Linked DNA regions of Caenorhabditis elegans. The protein of the gene in region 1 interacts with the protein of each later gene in a biochemical or structural test. Each region holds a gene or a part of one and is shown in the gene's direction. Other genes may lie near its edges. The genes, in order: lim-9 and cpna-1.

Region 1 (6,710 bases):
GGGCAAGACGCAAGAAGATCTACCTTCAAAATCTCCTATGGATCCTACGCAGACAAGCGGAAGCCCATTGGTTGAATTCAGAATGACAGAAGAACAGGAGCGTTTAGAGATGCTTTTCCAGTCATTATCAGAAGATCAGAAGAACTTCGTCAAGACGAATAACCTTAGTGTGTCTATTGAGGACGATGCCAACACTCCTGAACTTAGAAGGATCTTGAGACAAACCAGAGAACTCAAGAGAAAGCAACAGGAAATTGTGAGTCTATATCAAGTTTGACAGATTATTTAATGGTGGACTCAACAGTCAAAAAACGAAACATTTTTTGCTTTAAATGAGAGAACAGATCATAATGACCACATATAACTGTAAAAAATTGAACATTTTTCTAAATTTTTTAATGGGTTTTTTAAAAATTTTGTAACAATAAAAGAAGCGACTGATAAGGCCCGCCGAGATATTCGTTTTCCTGGAAAATTTGAATGGATTTTCTTTTCTCATCTGGCGTCTCAAATGGAAGCACAAAAAAATCCGAGAAAAACCAGTAAAATTAGCTGTAAAAACGGATATCTCTAAAAAGTGGTCAGGGCCTGGTTAAAAATGGTTAAAAGTTTCAGGCGAGAAAACTGGGAAACATCGAGAGAAATGCGTTAGCTGTTCGTGATGGCGGGGAGGATTCGTCCGACAGTAGATCAGATGCTGGGCACGATGTTGCTATCCTTCACGGTGACGACAGTCAACTCTTCGAAAATTCAATGCAATTGGATCAGAAATCTCAATTGCAAAATGATGAGACTCAAATTCTTGAGAATAAAAAGAAGGCAGCTGTTGTCATTCAGAAAATGATACGTGGTTTCATTGCACGGCGTAAATTCCAAATGGAAATTAGCAATATTCGCAATCGCATGATCCAATACAATCACATATTGGCGCAAGAAGACGAGCAAATTGGTATAGAAGAAATGGAGGATAAATCAGTCGAGGCAAAGTGAGAACTCTTTTTTTTTTAAATATATTTAAAAAAATTGATTTTCAGGCTAAAGAAATGCGCTCTTCATGGACTCACAAATGATAACCTTCACGTCGTTCATGTTGCTGCAACTGTCATCGGTATGTCGCAAATGAAAATTACGAAGAAGCTGCTTTTTGATCTGAAAGTCATAGAAACCAAAAGTTTATGAATATGCCGCCATGGATGATTTTCTTCGTCAATTGCAAAACCATACAACACATAGAAATGTTCATATTTTGCAGACCGAGTCACCGATCTTGTTCCATCACTTTTGGAAAAGCTTGTCGTCGAACTGAATGGCATCAAGTCGATCACTGATGTTTTGATTGTGGCGGATCGAGGATTCTCTTATACGAGCATTCTTCATCCATTATTGAATGTTCTCGAAAAATTATTCACGAAGATTCCCGAAGAAGTCACCAATTCGCATATTCTCCCTCACTTGAAGATTTTGTCGCCTCGCTTGATGCTACTGATGCTGAAGCACTCGGAAGTCAAGGAATTGTTTATTCCTATCATTAACACCTTGACTTCAATTGCTAGAAGATTCCCAGACAAAAAGCAATCGAGTTTTTCTTCATCAAGCTACTCAATCAAGCAGTCGCTCAAAAAAGTCAAGGATCAGGAGTGTCGGAATAAATTGGTCAGATTGGAAAGCATATGCGAAGATATGCTCTAAATTAGTCTCTGTTAAATATTAAATTCATCCCACCGTTTTGTGTATCATATCGTGAAAAAATACACACGGTTTAATTATTTTTATGTGAATATTTACCAATAAGATCAGTCAACCTGATGCTTATTTGGATTTTTTGGTATTTCATATTTGTTTCTTAAAGTCTGTTGTGAAGTAAAAACTTGATTTTAAATACTACCGTTTTTTTTAGAGTATGATGAATTTAGCTACTTTTAGAAATTCAAGAAGTCTGCTATTTTTCTCTGTTCCCTCTTTAAAATTTTTGAGTTTTGCACTTGTTGCGTAGCAGATGGCTCATCCGATTTGCAAATAGTTACTCGTCTTACTCTCCGTTCGCATTACACAGTAACCCTCCGACCATCTTTTTCTGCTCTTTTTTGTACTTTGTCACGTCATTCGGCTCCTGCTCCGCCTACTCAAAATTTTTATGGTTTTTTTCGAAAGTTTGAGAGAAGTAGTACTCGTTTTTCCGAATTTTTAAAATATTGTTCATTAGTTTTTATTAATTCCAGCTATATGCAGTGCCGGCCAAAAGTTGGTGATTTTTCAACAACAAAAAAAAATCAAAAGTAGCTACTTAAGTAGTAATTTTAAAAAACTTACCAGACAGGATTTTCATTATAACTTTGTCTAGATTTTGCTTTCCTCTGGAAAAAAAGTTGAAGCGGCTGACATCTACAGGAATAGATTTGTATATGTTCTCTTGCAACACATGTTTTTGAATTCTAAAGGCGCGTATGGGTCTCGCCACGTGGGAAACGAGTTTCTGTAACTCATGTCGGTTTACGGGTCACTAAAAGTTGTATCATCATTTTCAAAAATAGAAATTACTGACAAGATTTATTTAGAAAAAATAATTGTGCAATAGCGGCCCGTACATTAATACGAGTTACAGTAACCCGTTGTTCGAATGGCGAGACCATTGCACGTCTACGTAATAACAATTTGGCAGCAATTTAGACAATATTATCAATGTTTTGTCTTTACACAGTTTTTTAATTATTAGTTTTTGAGGTATTGTTTGGTTGAAAAATCACGAGAATAAGTCAAAGACGCATATAATTTGGCCGATATTGTGCTCGCATTTTCCCGATTTTCGTATTCAAGAAAATGGTCAGAAGATCATTTGGAATAGAAGTAGAAAATCTTCAAAATTTTTCTTTTTCTTTTATTTTATTCTATACAAATAGACACTTGAACTAATATAATAAGTACTTAACAGAAGTAGAACTCTTTTCAACTTGGCCCCCTCTCTGTAATATGTCTGACAATGTTGGTCCAAGAGAATTGTCAAATGCATTCAAATATCTTCTTGCCTATCAATTAGATTCGTAAGTTTTTTTTTCACAAAATGGAAAATTGATAGTTATGGATAGATCTCTGAAAAAAAACATCTTAAAATAGTAGATAATACTTTCCACCCAATTTTTTTGAATTCATAAACTTATAAAGGCATATTAGTAGCTTTTGTAAAATGTGTTCGAGAAGTTATTTATTCAATAAAAATGTGTAAAAAACGGTAAACCATTTAGATACCAAAAAAACCAGATCTTGCCATTTTTCTTCTAAAAGACACGACAAAAATTAGGTATTGTCAAGTGTGGGTTACTGTATCTGGATGTTTCTCTCTCTCGGGTATGACCTTTTGTCCAATCATGGAAAGTTCACCAAACTTATTCTGGAGTTATGCATAATTTATTTGTAATATTAAAACTTCAGGAGAGTCATGGTAATAAACTTAAAGTAGAAGAGTTCAAAATTCTCTTCAAAAAAAGTGTTTAGAAACCAGTAAGAACCCTTTCAAACTCTACATTTCTTCCTTCTAAACCCCGCTGTAATCCTTCTGTGATCAATTTTTCAAAATGACTACAAGTGACATAACTGCCAGTTTTAAGGCACACTTTTCTGCAATCTTCCGGAAGAAGATGTTCGAGACTTATTTGTTCTTTCAAATCGACTGGCCAATATCATTTATACAATTTAATGTGGAACGTCGCCTATAAGAAAATTGTTTGAAACCAATTAATTCGTTGCTAAAATGTAAAAAGCTTTGAAAGATATTTTTATTTGCAGTCGAAAAGTGGAAATTTTTTTACCAATAAATTTCCGTCAAAATTTAGCGATTCACCAATACTTTGACAGAAATTTTTGAACGACCTAAAGTTTTTTGAAGCGTTTAATTATTTTTTAAAGTCATGTTGGAGTGTATTTGTAGCACATATCCCGGAGTACTTTTTGGGGTACACAATTTATATTTCTCGATATATAACTATGCAACACAAATAGAGTACCTAATCAATTGAAGATCAATTGATATATATGCCATATTCGGGAAGTGTGTGTGAATCTCTGAGTCTCTCAAATCCAAATGATATTTCTCATTTCATAATATATTTTCTCATTATCTTGTTGTCATTATCCACTATCTTCATAATCCAATCGTCTCTTCCTTCAAAAAGTGAAAATAAACATAAAATTGGCAATTTTCGATATGATCATGAAGTGACCACACCCTGGCTTTCCTTTAATAGTGACACACAATTTGAGAAATTAAATGTTTTTTGAACGAATTTCTCAAATTTCTGTTCTTGTTTTTGAACCCTCGTGATTTTCATTTTATTTATTGATTTTCAATTTCAAAACTAGTCGATTTTTTTATTGCATTGCAAAAATAATTTCTCCAATTAAAAACAAATTACCACTTGCAAATTAAATTATAATTCTGATAGAACATTTTTGGCTTTGAATTAAAAACTAGAAAATATTTTGACACTTTGAAAGTAATATTGCCTATTTCCTTTTTCAATTTCATACCTATTTTGAGAGAGCTTACGATAAGTTTTAGTCGAAAATTGAAAGTTAATTGCAAACAGCAGAAACATGTTTTAATGTTTAGCCATTCACTTTATTGGAAAATGTTTTAAATTATTTAATTTTCAGAATCGCTCAAGACGGAGTAATGCCATCTGCTCATGGAGCTCTTCACAAATTATTGTGCTCGTGTTATTCAAAAAACACCGAAGTGGTTGATATCTATGATATGCCGGAAAATAATAATGCGCAGGTTGGATATTTTCATTCAAAATCACAATACCTGAAACAATGGTTGTTCCATTAAAAGACGTATTGTGTCGGCCATTTCCCTCAAAATCTTGCACGACACATGCTATCCGACTAGACATCATATTGTAGACAACAATTTCAGCTTGTTTAAAAAAAAATTAAAAAAAGTAAAATTTGCTTCGAATTCTTTCTAACTTTTAAATTTTTTAAACAGGAAAAAGAAGATCATTACACAAAAAGAGCAATAGATATCGGAGAAACAAAAAAAAGATTGGAACTTCTTCCACCACCTCCAACATCTTCATCGCCCCGGCCAACATCTTCTAATTCAATTATTCAAAAAAGTGATGGAAAACGAAAAGATCAGAAGAATGAGAAACAAGCATCTCCGATCATCGTGGAAGTTTACGATGACACACCTCAATCAAAGGTACGTATTTATTTCAGTTATTCTCTATGTTATCAGTAATTGCATTTTCTTTTTTATTAAAAAAGAAATCTTTACGTTTTGGCTGGTCTAATAAGCTTCATACTGAATTCAAGCTTCTCCCAAAATTTCTATTCAACTAATTCAAAGTATTGTACTTCCCACTTTAAAAGTACATCTTTTTCTTGCAAACGTTCATTTCCTTATTGCAACATCATTTTCTTTTTCTTGTTCCTTTCTCTGAATCATACTGTCAATTAGTAGTTATCAGTGTCATATCACATGATATCTCAAAAAAGTGTGCCAATTGGAACCCTTTTTTTTTTTGACTTTTCGTTTAATTGATGATACGATTGATCTTTAGTTTGGTGGTTGAACAAATTTTATTTCTTCGATTTTAATTTAGCTAAAAGTAAAGTTTAGTTATCTTGAATGTATACGAAAACATAACGAATGTTAACATGCTAATTCCCAAACTATGTTTTGGAAAATTCAACTTTAAAAAAGCGTGAAAAAAAAAATTCCCACCTTATTCATTATTGACTTCAATAGTAAAAACGTCCGAAAATATTAAGAAAAAATTAAATACTGTGCTCGTATTTCATCAATTTTGGAATTCGAATTTATTTTCTCAGAAATGTGACTCATTGCACGCGACAGAAATACGGTTAAGACAGTAAAACATCTGAAAAGTACTTTTTTTGTTAAAAATATCCGGCTTTTTTGGTGCCATTTTAAGAGTTATATAGATAACGTTTTTTTTTAAACAATATTGGTTTTCACTGAAATTTTCAGAACTAATTAATTTTGTAGTCGAAACATGTTAGGAAAGTTTTGGAAAAAAATTGTTGGAATTGTTCAACAGAAATTTTCAAAAAAGTACATGTTTTCCTGATCATCAACTCTAAGAAAGGTATGTTTATCAAATTAGGAATTTTTTAATTGCAAGAATAAGATTAAAACTTCCGAATCCAAATTTCTAAGAAAATTCTAAGTAACACTTTTTTAATTATTGATACCCGACACCAGTCTCTGTGGTTTGAATAAATATTTTGGCATACTGTAACTTTGAATATGCATTTGTTGATTTTTCCTGTCTATGAAGAAAAAACTCAAACATACAACTAAAGCTTATGGATAAATAAATGAATCTTCAATGTTCAATGTGAACACTTTTACAGAAATGAATAGAAAATGATATCCATGTCATCTGAATCTATTTCTTCAACCCTCACATCTTTACATCTGATCGTGTTCGTACTTAATTTCAAATTCAGATGAATTATATGAAATGACCTTGTCACCTCGTCGTCTTGATGATCATCCCACTTTTTCTCTTTATTCTCACAAGTTTTTCCCATTTTCTCCTATTTTCTCCAGGGTTAGTGATTGATGTTACCTATGCAAAATTGAATGTTTTCGTTTAAAATCATTGAACCCAGTTTGGGCGTTAAAAATGCTAATTTCAAATGTATCTCTGAAACAGTTTCTGAAAGTGAACAGACATAAATTT
Region 2 (6,454 bases), on another chromosome or scaffold:
CTTTATGTTTTCTCTAAAGCGTTCCTCAATTTTTGAATCAGAAATTTGAAATCAAATTATTTTTGCTCAACTTTGGCCTAGTTGTCACTGGTTTTGATTTTAAAAAAATGTTAAGCTGAAAAAGTATAGATTAAAACCACGTGGTGTCAGGGTGTCTTATTTTGGTTTGATTTACGTAGATCTACAAAAAATGCGGGAGTTGAGACGCTGACGTCACATTTTTTAACAAAAAACTCCCGCATTTTTGTAGATCAAACTGTGATGGGACAGTCTGAAACCACGTGTCAAACCTTGAACTATATTTTTATAGTTTAGCTGTTTTTGATAATCTAAAAAGTAATCAAGATATAATCTTTCAAAGTGGATTAATGCCAATTGATTGACGAAAATTTGGAAATTTTTCCTAATTTATTTTTCCAGTTTGAAGAGTTTAAAGCATAACTTCAGATATTTTCTGAAACGGTGAAAATTTACTTTTTTTCCTAGGTTTTGTCCAGATCTCTAGGAAGGTATACAAAATTCTGAAAGCAACATTTTTTTGCTCAAGATTTTTAAAAACTTTCTCTCGAATTTCGTAACTTTTTAATAACTTTTGTTAGAGAAAAATTTTCATTTTTATAAACTATATTTTTAGCTATATTTAAAATAGTGCACGTATTTTTTTCAAATTGAAATATTTTCATTTCCCATATCAATTCGGCTAGATGTGAAAGTATTTTTGAAAAATAGTTTTTTGTTTTGAAATTTCAACTTTAATATGATGAACTTTTTCTGTTAGAAAGTTTTCTGAACTATTTGAAAAATTAAAAAAAACCGTCCCAGAAAATATTTTTTAGTACAAACCAACATTAGTTTTGCTATGTTCTTAAAAGGGCTGTGAATACACCTTGCCCATGTGGTTTCAGGTTTTCCCATTACGCTTTGATCTACAAAAAATGCGGGAATTTTATGCTCAAAAATGTGACGTCAGCAAGTTCTGAACCTTGCGAACTCAGTTGAGATCTCTGCGTCTCAACTCCCGCATTTTTTGTAGATCTACGTAGATCAAACCGAAATGGGACAACCCACGTAATTGCCATCAAAATTTGGCACAATGTTCTCATTGCGAACGGTAGCTTTTAGGTTAGGATAACAATGATTTTTGGGATTTGTAAGATTTCAGGACTTTCGTCTGAAACATTTTCCCAATTTTCCTGCCAAGGGAAACTCCCAAAAGTTTTCTACAATTTTTGCAAATATTCTATTTTTTTCAACTACTGGAACACCGCCGTTCCGCATGTTTTTGGCGCTCAACAAATGTTGTTTTTTTCTTCCCTCAATATTTTCCATTTAATATCTTCCTCATTTTGTGTATCCCTTTCAACTACTACCACTCCACCCAAATCACAGAGAGTTGGTTGACAGCAAAAGAGTTCATGGCTTTTCACTGTTGTTTTGCCTCTTCTCTTCTTCACAAGTTTTGCCATCGCAGAGCCGCCAGCTTTCTGCCTCATCGTCGCGACTTGAGAGCCATTTTTTCCGTGTCCCCCGTCCCGTCCCTCAACTGCATTACATTGTAGAAGGGGACGGAAGCTGGTAACTTGAGCAAGGCTTTTCAAGTATAAAATGCAGAAAAAAATGACAAAAAGAGTTCTTTGTGCTGAAGAAAAGAGCACAAATTTTGAAGGTTTTGAATGATCAAAAGATCTTCGTCTTTTTTTTGGAATTTTGTTGAAAAATTGTTTGAATATTCATAATTTTTGTATTAATTGGCTCCAAGTAGGAAGCTTTAAAATTGGAAAAATTGGAACAAGTTGATTTTCAAAAATTTCGCTATTTTTTCACTGATTATTTTTAGGGCAGACACAAATTGATCTAGAGCTCATGTCCAGAAAAGAGGCATAGGCAGGCAAGTAGGCAGGCAGGCCACAAAAAAGCGTACTAGCCTATTGAAAAAAGCTTTTTCCAAAATTTTGAATCTTTATACCATTTTTTTGAGAAAGTTTCAGAACTTCTCATAACAAAATTCGGAAGTTTTGGGTTTTTGTGTCTAAAAAAGTAACATTTCAGATTTTGGTACTCTTTTAAGATTTTTAAAAAGTCTTCAAAAATTTCCAAATTTCTGAAATTCTCCAGTTTCTTTTTTATCTATTTGATCATCTAACTTCCATCAGCTGCTTCTAAACTATCAAAAATTTGTATTGTTTTAATTTTTGATCACCTTTATCCATTAGCTCAATTTCTCCATTTCCAGGCGAGTCGGTATGGTATTCGACGCGCGTCTCGGGTACGACCCGGACGAGTGGGAGGAATGCCCGGAGCCGGAGCATTTTCTCGTGTTCTCCGGCTTCACCCGCTACATGCTCACGTTTGCCGCCATAGCCTTCGTCTACTACTTCTTCAAACTTCTCGATGACAAGAATAAGAAGGAGTCAGGCGAGAAGGAAGAGCCACAAACTTCGGTAGAAAGCGTCCTGGCCAAGGCCGGTGACAAGCTTCATGATGTGAAAGAACAAGTGGTAGGTGTTGAGAATAGATCTTGAAAAAAAAGGAATTTCAGCAGCAACACATCCCAGAAAGCGCTGAAGAGCTGATGCGTGAAGCCGACCAATATCTGAAAGAACAAGCTCACTCAGTTCAAAATAACGTCCATCAGTTCGCTGAGCAGGCTGCAAATAAGTTCCCGAGCTTGGAGGTGGATTTGAATTTAGGGTAAGTGTGAGAACAAGAATCACATTTTCGGCATTAGGGAGCAGGTATGGAATAGGCAGGCCTGAAGTAGTTAGGTAGGCATGAACTAGGCAGGCAAACATAAGTCAAGCGTAGGCACGTAGTTAGACATGTTGGCAAGCAGGAATATGATAGGCACGTATATTCATTAGAAATGCACGTAGGCAGAGACACCTGGGTCAGGTATAGGCACGTTGCACATAGGGAGGCATGCATGAAAATGGCACGTAGGCAGGCAGGTATGGAGTAGGCATAGCTGCAACGCAGAAGTGTGGAAAGCCCGAAATAGGTATCACATAGGCATGTCAAAAATCTCAGATTTTCAGCCACCCCATCGACGCCACCAGAGAGAAGTTCGACACCGTGCTCTCTTCCGTCAACAATCACCTCCACGAGACAAAGAACATGGACCTGTCTCCAACATCCCGCGATTCCACCCAATTCGAGCAAATTCCATCTATTGCACCGGAAGAATCCGCATTCGGGCACGACTTTGAGCATGTTCCACCTCATCTCAAAACAGCTGCCGAGCAATATTATGCTCAGCAACACCAACCACCTCCGGTACCCCAACACAAAATCGTTCAACCGGTTCCGATATCTCCGACTGACCAGCAGCTGCTTCACGAGTTTGATATCTACGATGCTCCAGCTCATCAGCGGATGAATCAGATCTCCGAGCAACTTGGACAGCTTGGACAGAAGACCCCAGCTCAACTTCAACAGCTTCAACATGCTCAGTTAGCTCATCAGCAACTGCAACAGCAGGGAGTCTTCCAGCCAATCCAGCAACCATCACCACTGCAAATCCAGACACATCCACAGCAACCATACTTTGATTTCTCCCAACTGTCCCCAGCATCTCAAGCCCGTTACAACCAGCAGCAGTTCGTGGACATTTCTCAGCTGTCTCCCGGGGCTGGAGCTCTGATCGCTGAGCAACAAGCTTCAGGAGCATTCCAACCAGTAACAAAGAAGCTGGGAAGGGAGAAGCGGCTCAGTGAGCAGTGAGTTTTTTTTAATCTTAGTTTGGGTTTTCAATTTACAAAGAGCAAATTCAATTTCCAGAGACGAGCGAGCCCTTCAGGACTGGGAAAAGGAGAAGGCCCTTCTCGAAGCTGACCGTCTGAAGAAGCTTTTGGATCATGAAGTTGGAGGTGATTCGACAGACTTGGATTCGTCTCAAAAAGCCTATGATCACTTTGCACCAGCTTCTCACATCTCCTACGAGAGCCATAGTGGAGCAGCACAGATTCAGTAAGTTTTAGGCTATTTTTATGGTTCAAATTTTAGTGAAAGTTCAAAAAATGAGCAAAGCATTTGGAAATTTTTCAAAAAAAAGTGAATGCCTAAAACACAGTTTCGTAGTTAGGTAGGCAGGCAGGTAGGTAGGTAGCCTTGAAGGCGTGCCTGCCTATAAGAGTATTGTTCAAGTTTGCAACAATGTTGGGAACTTTTCCGAGATATTTATACGACCTGTTAGGCATGCTAGGCCTGCTCTGATTTGCCTACCTGCATTGAAGGCTACCTACGCCTACCAAGTGCCTACACATGCGCCTAGTTCCAAATTAGATTTAGATTCTTTTTTTACATTTCGTGGTTAATAAAATTGATAAAATTGTGTTAAAACTACACTGAGCGAGAATGAGCTGAAGGTTGGTATGAAGGCCTAGGTAAGCTGGTAGGTGAGCAGGCAGGCAGGCACGCTCAAATAAGTACCTACTATGCATTTTACCAAGCTAATTTTTCAAATTTTTAGACCAATGACACCAACTGCTCCAAAACGAGCTGACGTCCCTGCACCACAAGTCACTTCGATTACCAAGTACGTTACTTTTTCAGAAAAATATTTTTTATTTATAATAACTTCCTATATACACAAAAAACACTGAGGTCAATATTCATTAAAAGTATCTGTACTTGATCCTAAACTGTTCTCCTCTTCGACCAGCTTCGTTCGTTTTGTCGAGTTCTTCGAGTAGCTCTGTCCTCGAGACTTGAGCGTACTATCAGCTTGCCAAGCTCGATATCGCTTGTAGAGGAAAATGAGCAGTAAAATTGTTCCCTGAGACCCTAAGACTATGGTGAAGGTGTAGTGCCAGAAGGTGGTGTATGGGGAGTAGAGGGTTCCGAATTGAAGGATCCATGGAAGACCTAGTGAGATTTGCATTACAACTATGGATACTATCTTCGTGATCACATTTGGATCGTAGTGGTGACCCTGGAAATTTTATTTCAGACTTATTAGATTTCCTTGCAAGAACTTACCCCTTGACTAAATTTCCTTTTCATTCCACAAAAAACTTTGTAGATCATGAAACTAGTGCATACTACCGTACTCAGTAAAAGTACAGTTACTGGAATGATAATTGCAGCCACTATGTAGTCGGGTCGTACCCAGCAGAAGCAGTCCTGGCGGTCGAAGAATTTTGTGAAGACTAGCAGAAATATTGAAAGAATAAAGGGGAGAGCTGTAATATTTAGGGGGTTGTTTAGAATTTTCGGGCAAAAAAATTATCATACCTACTGACGTGATGAGAACTGGCACTGTTCCAAAACATATGTTAAGCAGCCTGTAGGCTGGAGTTGGCAGGAAAACGAGGATATTTCGAAGAGCTTGGAAAATTGTGAGAAATAGAGAGCTGAAAAGAATATTATTGATTAGAATTGTGAGAATGGTTGTGGCGTAGCCGTGACGCTACCATGACACATAGAACTACCGGTATGACGCTAGAAGGGCCCGAAGCGGGCAATGCCTACTCACCACAAAAGCAAAGCGTACATCACAGCTGCCATCGCTGTGCACATATCACCTGAGACATCTTGATTTGAGAACACTGTGAAGAACACGTAAAAGAGAAGAAGATCAAAATGGTAGATAAGAGCAAGAAAGTCCCGACGAGCCAGATTATGACCCCGGACATAACTGTAGAGTCGGCTGTTGGCGAGAGAGTTTATACTAAAATTTTGGACTTCTCAGCAGCAATTCTCTATAAGAATAAGCCAAAACTTACTAGGCAGAGATACTAAAAAACGTAAGAAAAGCTAGAGAGACAATCGATAGACCGTTCACGACGTAGCCAAGAGTGATGAGGGCATTGTCACAGACATTCGGATCGTTTAGAGCAGCGTCCTGGAAATTTTAATTAAAAAGCTTGATATTCGAAAGAGGACCGCAACCCATACCACAATAATAGCGAAATCCGTCAAATGCGTGCATCTTGCTTCCAGAATTCCATCTGACTCAGAGACGATCTCACATTGGCGGTCTTCGGCCCACGCATTCCTTCCAATATCCCACCAGGTTACTTTTAAATTTCCGTGCAGGGGTTTCATGAGAGTCGAGATATTGAATCGGAGCAGTGCCATCGTGGCTTCAGAAGTTGCTGATACAGAGACTGCGACACCGTTGTTCATGACAGTTGCACTCATCACAGGTGTTGGTGGGAGGGATGTCTGTCGAGCACACGGTGAGAGTGGGACGGTCTCTGGAAATTTCATAGTATGGTTCTAAAGTAAGTCTTGATGTAGCGCCCGACAGCTTCCGGGTTGTCCCAGCCACATGATGAAGCTCAGCGTATGGCAGTACCCGGTAGATGTTGGGTGGTCACATGACGCAGCCGTGACGCTGTCGTGACAATAGATCCCTTATTCTTTGTAGTCCATCAGTAAAAATTACACTTACGACTTGTAGCATTCATCTGGTATGGCTCAGCTTCATAGAATCCTGCCGATCTCGGCACCC

Evidence for each region.
Region 2: the proteins of lim-9 (region 1) and cpna-1 interact in far-western blotting, tested with the Caenorhabditis elegans proteins (one study listed by BioGRID).

Annotation. Positions count from the first base shown.
Region 1 is NC_003279.8:9,216,986-9,223,695, reverse strand, and holds the start of lim-9 (Protein espinas), read left to right. Parts: upstream 1-2,967; coding exon 2,968-3,038; intron 3,039-4,647; coding exon 4,648-4,771; intron 4,772-4,984; coding exon 4,985-5,200; intron 5,201-6,710. Other genes in the region: aspm-1 (Calponin-homology (CH) domain-containing protein), read left to right, coding at 1-256, 616-986, 1,035-1,108, 1,253-1,689.
Region 2 is NC_003280.10:4,184,433-4,190,886, forward strand, and holds the start of cpna-1 (Copine family protein 1), read left to right. Parts: upstream 1-2,243; coding exon 2,244-2,498; intron 2,499-2,539; coding exon 2,540-2,691; intron 2,692-3,035; coding exon 3,036-3,716; intron 3,717-3,777; coding exon 3,778-3,966; intron 3,967-4,468; coding exon 4,469-4,534; intron 4,535-4,543; exon of another isoform or gene 4,544-4,603; coding exon of another isoform or gene 4,604-4,930; intron 4,931-4,977; coding exon of another isoform or gene 4,978-5,180; intron 5,181-5,232; coding exon of another isoform or gene 5,233-5,351; intron 5,352-5,473; coding exon of another isoform or gene 5,474-5,668; intron 5,669-5,723; coding exon of another isoform or gene 5,724-5,842; intron 5,843-5,895; coding exon of another isoform or gene 5,896-6,197; intron 6,198-6,394; coding exon of another isoform or gene 6,395-6,454. Other genes in the region: mth-2 (GPS domain-containing protein), read right to left, coding at 4,604-4,930, 4,978-5,180, 5,233-5,351, 5,474-5,668, 5,724-5,842, 5,896-6,197, 6,395-6,454. UniProt on the Caenorhabditis elegans protein: Involved in the assembly of dense bodies and M lines during body wall muscle development.